2 linked regions of the Arabidopsis thaliana genome follow. The protein of the gene in region 1 purifies or fractionates together with the protein of each later gene. This does not show direct contact. Each region holds a gene or a part of one and is shown on either strand. Other genes may lie near its edges. The genes, in order: SEX1 and SUMO3.

What was found.
Region 2: the proteins of SEX1 (region 1) and SUMO3 purify together in Arabidopsis thaliana (affinity purification with western blotting, with the first as the bait; one study listed by BioGRID). This does not show direct contact.

What each region holds. Positions count from the first base shown.
Region 1 is NC_003070.9:3,587,649-3,592,494, forward strand, and holds the start of SEX1 (Pyruvate phosphate dikinase, PEP/pyruvate binding domain-containing protein), read right to left. Parts: upstream 3,281-4,846; 5' UTR 3,228-3,280; intron 3,152-3,227; 5' UTR 2,777-3,151; intron 2,428-2,776; 5' UTR 2,396-2,427; coding exon 2,150-2,395; intron 1,947-2,149; coding exon 1,905-1,946; intron 1,818-1,904; coding exon 1,717-1,817; intron 1,624-1,716; coding exon 1,545-1,623; intron 1,427-1,544; coding exon 1,335-1,426; intron 1,236-1,334; coding exon 1,082-1,235; intron 663-1,081; coding exon 267-662; intron 162-266; coding exon 54-161; intron 1-53. Other genes in the region: AT1G10770 (Plant invertase/pectin methylesterase inhibitor superfamily protein), read right to left, coding at 4,211-4,714. UniProt on the Arabidopsis thaliana protein: Mediates the incorporation of phosphate into starch-like alpha-glucan, mostly at the C-6 position of glucose units. Acts as an overall regulator of starch mobilization.
Region 2 is NC_003076.8:22,384,429-22,387,930, reverse strand, and holds SUMO3 (small ubiquitin-like modifier 3), read left to right. Parts: upstream 1-1,725; 5' UTR 1,726-1,859; coding exon 1,860-1,934; intron 1,935-2,111; coding exon 2,112-2,261; coding exon of another isoform or gene 2,262-2,352; coding exon 2,353-2,463; 3' UTR 2,464-2,674; downstream 2,675-3,502. Other genes in the region: SUMO2 (small ubiquitin-like modifier 2), read left to right, coding at 3,159-3,230. UniProt on the Arabidopsis thaliana protein: Ubiquitin-like protein which can be covalently attached to target lysines as a monomer. Does not seem to be involved in protein degradation and may function as an antagonist of ubiquitin in the degradation process.

The sequences.
Region 1 (4,846 bases):
GAGCTGATGTTAAAGTATGTTCTTGTTTAAGAAATAAAGAAGAATTATCTTACCAACCATTCTCCACCCTTTTGAGACAAAGCCCAGTGAAGGGTAACCGGCTCTTTAAAATCAGTTGCCACATGAATTTTCGTCTTTCCGGAAAGTTTAGTAACAAACACCTATTTAGAGGGAGTAATAACTTGGCATTAGAAGATACTGATGGATGTATATCTAACCGGAATAGAAATAAAAAAGAGAGCAAGATAGTGATGCTATCAACTGACCAAAATCGCACTGCCTTCAAGCTTGAATGTTTTCTTGCTAAAGACTGGAGTGGTTTCTTGTTCCTCCTTTGCTTTGGCGTATATCTCCAGAGTTGTTAAGGACCGTGGTTCAGATGAGGATTTGGATTCTGGTTCAACAAAATCAGCAACATGCTTATAGATAAGCTTAGTCAGGTCCCTTCCCTTGCGCTGGATCTTGTCAGTGTTATAATTTTTTTTACGCTCTGGTTGCTTGGAAACTTTTTTCTTTTCCTCCCGTCCACTGGATGATGTCCCATTAGATTTTGGGGATTCATTACTGTTATCTTTCTTCAACAGCTTTGCTCTGAGATCTTCCACTGAAGCACCTCGCATCATTTCCTCCCGTAGCTCCGTCCGGGCGGCTTCATACTCCTCCTATTGATCAGAGACAAATTATTCTGCTTAGCTATAAAATAATGGATTTACACAAAAATGCAGAGAACTTGATATTGATGCAACTGAGATATATACAGGTTCATCAGATAAAGCAACAAATATATTTTCAAGAGCCACCAGAGCCAACTAAAACGCTATTACCAAAAAATCAATCAAGAGCATTTTCAACTTAGCTAACCTATCATCAATTTGCTGATCAGTCCAATATACCAGAATCTGCATCTAAATCAAAATTGTTGGAAATTTGTACTGGTGATGGAATCAACTAAATGGCTGGTGAGAATCATGATTCCTCTTTATGTGAATTGTAGAACAACATAAAAGGTGAAGAATTTAAAAATATATGAAGAAAAATAATCCTTGAAGATATGCTTGTATAGGTACAACGTCTGACTGACCTTCTCTTTCTCAGGGTTGTACATTTGTTTACCCTTACGTTCCCATCTAAGATATGCTTGGATCTGTACAAGATCTTCAGGAACAGAAACATTTTGTTTCACATTCCTTTCCGTTGGTAAGTTTATATGAAAATTCTGACCATTATTTTTATACCTGCATATGTTTTAGATTATGAGAAACGACAAAAATTGTAAACAGAATTAGGTTCTCTGCTCAGGCTTAGTAAGTAAGAAGAAGCGAAAACAAGCTAACCATTTGTTCCGACTTTCGTCAAATATAAGGAACTCAATAGCGTGTATGGCAGGATCATCTATCTCTAGTTTAAGGTGAGAATTGCCACCGGACTGCAGATAAGAACTCAAAGCATCATTTGGAAATCTTAAGTTGTACTGGTATCAGCTGGAAATCATACCATCACAAGTAGCGCTGTAATGTACGTCGAAGAATGAATTCAAAGCTTACTTTCACAAATGGAGTTCTAAGCGCACTGTTCTTGAAGTTTTGAGTTCTATCCGGAGAGCGAGAAGGTAGAACCCAATTTCTGACATGGAAAATAAGAAAGATAGTTAACTATACCATGTGCCATAACAAGCTATTACCTAGGAAAGTTGAACATCACTAGACAAGGACATACTCTTTGTTGTCAAGAATTGCACCCCAGTGTAGGAACAATGTGTCACTTGTATAAGCTATCTGGATATTTACTTCTCTTACAGTTGTAGAAGTGACTTCAACCTATTCAATTACATTCATAAAACCTACCATTAAGTCTACAAATGCCAACAAGATAGAAATTTCCATTATTTGTAAGGATATACTTACCAGTAAATCGATATTTCCGTCAAGACTAAATTTCTCGGCTGCCTGTTAAAGGATGAAACTTTTTAGCACACATGTCGATAAAATAACTATCTTATGCATTCAATTGGAAGAACAATGCATATGATTCAGGTCAATGAAAAAGTTTTGGACATGAAACGTCTAACATACATTGAGTAGTTGGAACCAAAATATCACATTCCAAACAATGTCAATAGTGGTGAAAAGTAAATCCATAAGAAAATAACCTGAGGATCCATGGCAAGGACAGCTCGTGGAACAAATGAGAGAGGTCTTCCTCCTGTTTCAGTGACCAGACTGCGTCCTGCCTGCTTAAGACCTTTCCCGTAAAGTTTTGATCTGCCAATCTTGCCAAGAGCCGGATTTGCTGTTGAAGTTTGGTACACAGAGGAGTTGAGCTTGTTTTGATGTTCAAAGTTAAGAGGACGAATCAAACCCCGGTTAAGTAAGTTATGCACTACAGAGTTACTCATGCTTTCTTGTCACTGAATCAAACTTGCCGGATCTGTTAAGTAAAGTAGAGATTATATAATAAGATAATAAGGAAAACAATGAAGCTTTTGCAATAGATGAGAAAAAAAAGGAACAAGTTATACTATTTGTCTCAAAAAGAAGAATCTGACAGAGTTAGACAAGAGAACCACACTTGTTATTTTTATTTTATTTTCACTTTGTAGAGAAACAGTTACTTCATTCTGCGAATGGAACATGTGCAATATACACTAAGAAGAAAAGAATCGTCTTTTATAGTCAAAACGAAAATATCTATCAAAAGAAAATTTGCAATTTGAATCAAATAACAAAAACACCGAAAGCAATCGAAATTGAAGGTAAAATTCAATTGAAAAAGATACCTGATGATCGAACCGAGACGAAGAAACTGAATACAATGAGAGAAAGAGAGAAGATCCCAGAATTTGAATGATCTTATGGATGAAGTGAGTGCTGGGGGGTTTCTTCGCTCTTTGTTCTTCTTCACTCACTCACACATACATACACTCACGTGTAATCGAAGTAAAAAACGACACTTTATCCTTCGATTCCACCACGTGGCACATCGTTATTCGAGCACGTAGGAGGAACGGCACGGAGAAAGAGAGCCCAGTGATACGTTGATGGACGGTATCTGTGGACTCCACCTTTTTTTTTTATTTGGGTGATATTTTCTTATTATATACAGAATCTTCTCACCGTTGATTTTAGCTTTTTTTAATTTTTCTTTCTTTTTTCTATTTTCCTGTTTTTGTCTTTTTGTTTTGATATTTTTATGCTTCGTTCTCTTGTATCTTTTTTTTATTGGTCGACATGTTTTTTTTTTTTTTTCTCTTGTGTTCACAAACCACGAATTGCAGAAGATATTTTTGTTTATCTTTCTATTCTTGTAGTGATATATATCCCAAGCCCACTTGTTCAATCATGTCAATTATATCCTAGCTAAACCTTATTTGGTGTTTTTGTGTGGTGTTTCTTCTATAGAGAGTTTTACACATTGTGGAAAACAAAATGTATGTTAAATATAGAAGCAAAGGATAATTTTGTATAATGTTATGTGTGTTTATTATGGTCCAATATTTTTCAATCCAAATCAAAGCAATTCTCACTTTCTTAAAACACTTAAAGACATTGAAACATGATCATTGAGCAAGATCTATCAGTTTTGCATGAAAGAAAAATTATTGAATGCTTTTATGATCATATCAAACTATAATATACATACAGATTTTAAGAAAAAGAGTTAAAAGACCATTTTAAATGGCAATATTTTTATCCAATATATGATATAGCCAAATTATTTTCTCAAAGATATTTTTTTGTTATGGATCCTGGGAAAAGTAAAACATAATCACACATATACTTTCTAAAAACATCATAATGATATCCATATCAATAATGAATTAGTGATAGTAGTTAACAAAACAAAAAGTTGTGCATTACTATAGTTTGTGTTTGTCTTTGTCACTTATTGTTTTATTTTTCGGTCAAAACTTAATCTTATTGTTGATAGTGAAAAAGTAAAGTGGGTTCAAGAAAGGAGAATGGAAAACATTTCTATCGGCAAATTGTTGAATATGAAAAAATCTACTAGCGATTATTAATTACACGAAATTCAAATATAATTAGTTACACCCAGTGGCGTTACATACGAATGATGGATCAACAACAAACATCTCTCTCAAAACAAAAACAACAAAAAGAAACCCAAATTTTAATTGCTTGAGATTTTTTATTTCTTCAATTAATTAGTTTTTGTTTTGAGAAAAATTAAATCAATTGTTCTCTTAAATCGATCATCTAATCAATGTAGACAACGCCAAGCAATTGCTGCTAATTTTTCTCAAGTCAACCACTGCATTTTGGATCGCATTAACCTGTTGTGTTTCAATGAACCCGTCCACACATGCACCGTAATCAGACACAGCCGCAGTTAGATACGTGTTCATCGCCGGCACATCACGTTTCCTTATGCTCTTTCTCGCGCTTGCCAAATTGTAAACCGCGTCGCCCAATGTCTCGTAACACGTGCTGACCGCTTGGTTACCGTTTTTGAACCTAGCTGTTTCGGCTAGAGCTAGTTTCGTCTTAGCCTCCAAAGCTTGGATGGTTCGGTGCGTGGCTTTTCTAGGGCTCGTGACACGTTTCACCAGAGGTCGGCACAAAGATGGATACGCGGTGTGAGAGCAGATATTGATCATACGCGACTCCGCGACTTGACCAGCCATGAGAAAGATCAATACGGCGGCGGATGCCGCGACTGCTGCAAAACGCAGCTGGAATGTGTCGCGGCCCGCCATTTTATTGATATTTATTTATGTATTTGAATTGAGAAGAAATTATCACCAGGTCATTTTTCAATGCAGGAGTTAATCACGTTATATATAGACAAGTTTTTTTGGTTTTGAAATTGTTGGTGGTGCGCGTTTTGC
Region 2 (3,502 bases), on another chromosome or scaffold:
ATCCAAGTATAGATTTATATGAAATATTTGATAGTAACATTGACTGATTCACAAGTTGGTTGTAACTAATATTTTGACTTAGCAAATTGGGCTAATGAACGCGTTTAGATGTGCGGAGGAAAAATGAACATTTTAAGGTTAGCTAAGCTAAGCAAACACCTCAAATTATTTTCCAGTAGTATAATAATGAATTAATCTAAATGGTCCATCTCCGTCCATGGATAAACAAAAAACGATATTTGTAGAGTTTAGTTGTCCTATACAAATAGAACTCTATCGCTAAGCAATTAATGTTTCCTTCTGATGTAAAACCAAGAATTTTGGATGACATTTACGGCTAGTTTTACTAATTACTTGGTGAAAGATGCTTTTTAGATTTATTTGAATTTAATAATTGTGGCCGAATATTAACGGTTATGTACATATAGGCATAGAATGTTAATACACATACGGTAATTACTACTACAGTTTGAAATATAGTTTTATCTTCGGTGATTGAGACCTGAATAATGAAACTAATTAAGAGTAGACATCATAATAACTCCACTATCAAAAGAGAAAATAATAGACATCATCATTTGGTAATATTGTATTTGATGATTATATACATGTTTTTGTTTGTGTATCAACTTGTCCACTAGGTGGTAATCTTATATGTATCAATGTATGCTGGTTTACATATACTTTAGTATAACAATTTAATTTTTGGATTATGAAAGTAACAATAATTTAATAATGTATCTATGGAGGTTGTCGACATCGTACGGTATGTTTCGACAAGGCCCTTAAGTCTTAAGTCGGTACATGAAATTGAAAATGAAACACAATGACAAGTCCATATGAAAATTGAAAACATTATAATATCCAGAGAGGTGTGTCACCTTCAGATTGACTTATTTGTAACTATTATGAGTTTATGACGAATTTCTAAATATAAACGTTAACTAATATATTCGTATAAATATAACATCATCATTATTAGTTTCTTATCAACCAAGAGAAAGAATTCAATGTGGTAGGTCACTTGGATGCTGTCCAACAAATTGAGTTTTAGATAGGAATGTTAGCATTGTCCCTGATCTTTACGTTACGATACAATGCCTATTAGTTTATCAAATTAAAAACTGGAAATATATTATGTCGGGCCGAAATAGAAGTCGTCACGAAACATAGACTAACCATTTACACACTATGACGGTCGACGTACATTATTTTTTAATATTAAATAATAACCATGCATGCATTAGAAGTTTAGAACATCAAGAAATATATAAATTTTATAAAGAGAGCTTGCCCTAAACTTTGTCAAATAATATCATAATTTTGAGTTTCTTTTTAAAATACCACAAAAGTTATGTTTGCTAAGATTTTTAAAAGTTTCTAACTGTTGTATTTTTTTTGAAATTATTAGATTACCGTGGTAATTAGATTTTATTTTTAAATATGATTTATAAATTTTCTAAAAACTATTTGGTCGGTTCACGAAAATGGGTTCCAACTTTATATACTGTGTAGAAGTAATTAAGCCCACATATGAGCATATTTGATCTTAAACCAGCCCAATAGCCCATTACGAATGCTTGATTAAACGGCAGTGTTTTCATGTACGAATTCCACGCTCTCCTAGCCGTCGGATGATAAGCTACAATGATTATGAGCCGTTCGATATATCACCACAAGAATCTGTAGATCAAAAGTGAGTGCGATCAAGAACTGGTTTCAGTCACTTTTTTGACAAGTCTCTCTTTCTCAAAAGTCAACCCCTTATTTTGCAATACTGTATTGTGAATCTCTCTATCAGGCCTTCGTATTTCTCACAGACTGGAGTTTTTGTTTCATAAAATCTGATAAAAGGAAAGATGTCTAACCCTCAAGATGACAAGCCCATCGACCAAGAACAAGAAGCTCATGTCATTCTCAAGGTCAAGAGCCAGGTTTTTTCACTGTGTTCCCTCTTTAATCTCCTTGAAATTTTCTGTCGTTGCTGCTTGGTTGATAATACTATATATACAGTTTCTTGATATGAAAACTTTGATGATACTCTTTTCCAAACTGTGATGATCTAAAGTATAGAGTGATTAAAATCTTTTTTCTTGATTGGTGATACTAAGGATGGAGACGAAGTCTTATTTAAGAACAAAAAAAGCGCTCCACTTAAAAAGCTCATGTATGTTTACTGCGACCGCCGAGGTTTGAAATTAGACGCATTCGCTTTCATTTTTAATGGAGCTCGTATAGGTGGCCTGGAGACTCCAGATGAGGCAAATCACTCTCTTTTTCATTTCCCTTTTACAATTTATATGTTTGTCAAAAGTGTATCATTTACTAAACCAAGATTCTCCAATTTTAAAGCTTGATATGGAAGATGGAGATGTGATAGATGCGTGCCGGGCGATGAGTGGTGGTCTACGAGCAAATCAGCGTCAGTGGTCTTATATGCTTTTCGATCATAATGGGCTTTAATTAGGAATAATTTGGCTGGCTTTGTGATATTTGACTACTTTCTTCAAGCAAAATTACTTGAAGTTTAAATCATGGTCGGTTATCGTGTGTGTAAATGACTCATGAGTGATTGGATCTTATGAATTATGATATTAATGGTATCTGGTTACGGATTTTTAGAATCTTTGTACTTTGTTAATTTTACAACCGTGAATAAACAACTCATCAAAACCTCTAAAACTCAAGTTGGCTAATTGTAAAAGGTCACACAACAAAACCATATTAAACAATTGAAATCTTTACTGGTTTGATCAAAATCAAACGGTTCACTTTGAACATCTTCACTTTTCCCAACTCAAACAAATCTACTCGAAAGCTGAGATTTTCACATTTTAAAATTCTTGGGTAGACACAGAAGTAACCAGCCCATTTGAGCCCATTAAGAATGCTAAAACGACATCATTTTAAGTTAGAGATTATACTCACTCACAGCCGTCGAATGATATAGATCAATGATTATGAACCGTTAGATAAACAAGAATCCGATGCGACCAAAGATAGTGGTTTCAGTCTTTTTTATTCTCTGCCGAGTCTCTCTCTCTCCCTCAAACCCTCAAGTTCTGCAATCCCGCGAATCTCTCTTAGGGCTTCGCTTATATCGCAGATCGAAGTTCTTGTTTCCAATCGCCGACCGTATAATCTGATAATAAAGTAAGATGTCTGCTACTCCGGAAGAAGACAAGAAGCCTGACCAAGGAGCTCACATCAATCTCAAAGTCAAGGGACAGGTTTTCTATTTCTCACTCACTCTCTCGACTTCTATTTCTTGCATTGTGTAACGATTCGTTGTCTGGTTAAAGTTTTGAGTGTGATTAGGATCTTTATAGCTTCTGATTGCTTCAATTCTAGGGTTTTGAGTTTGTCTGCGTTATTCCCAATTTCTATTCTGGTTAGCTTGTCTATGAGGTAGTGATTATTGTGTAAGCGTGACTTTTAATTGGCTTAAATTTGAAGCAAACAAAAGTTATCTGAGAATTGTGAATTATGTTTTGACTCATAA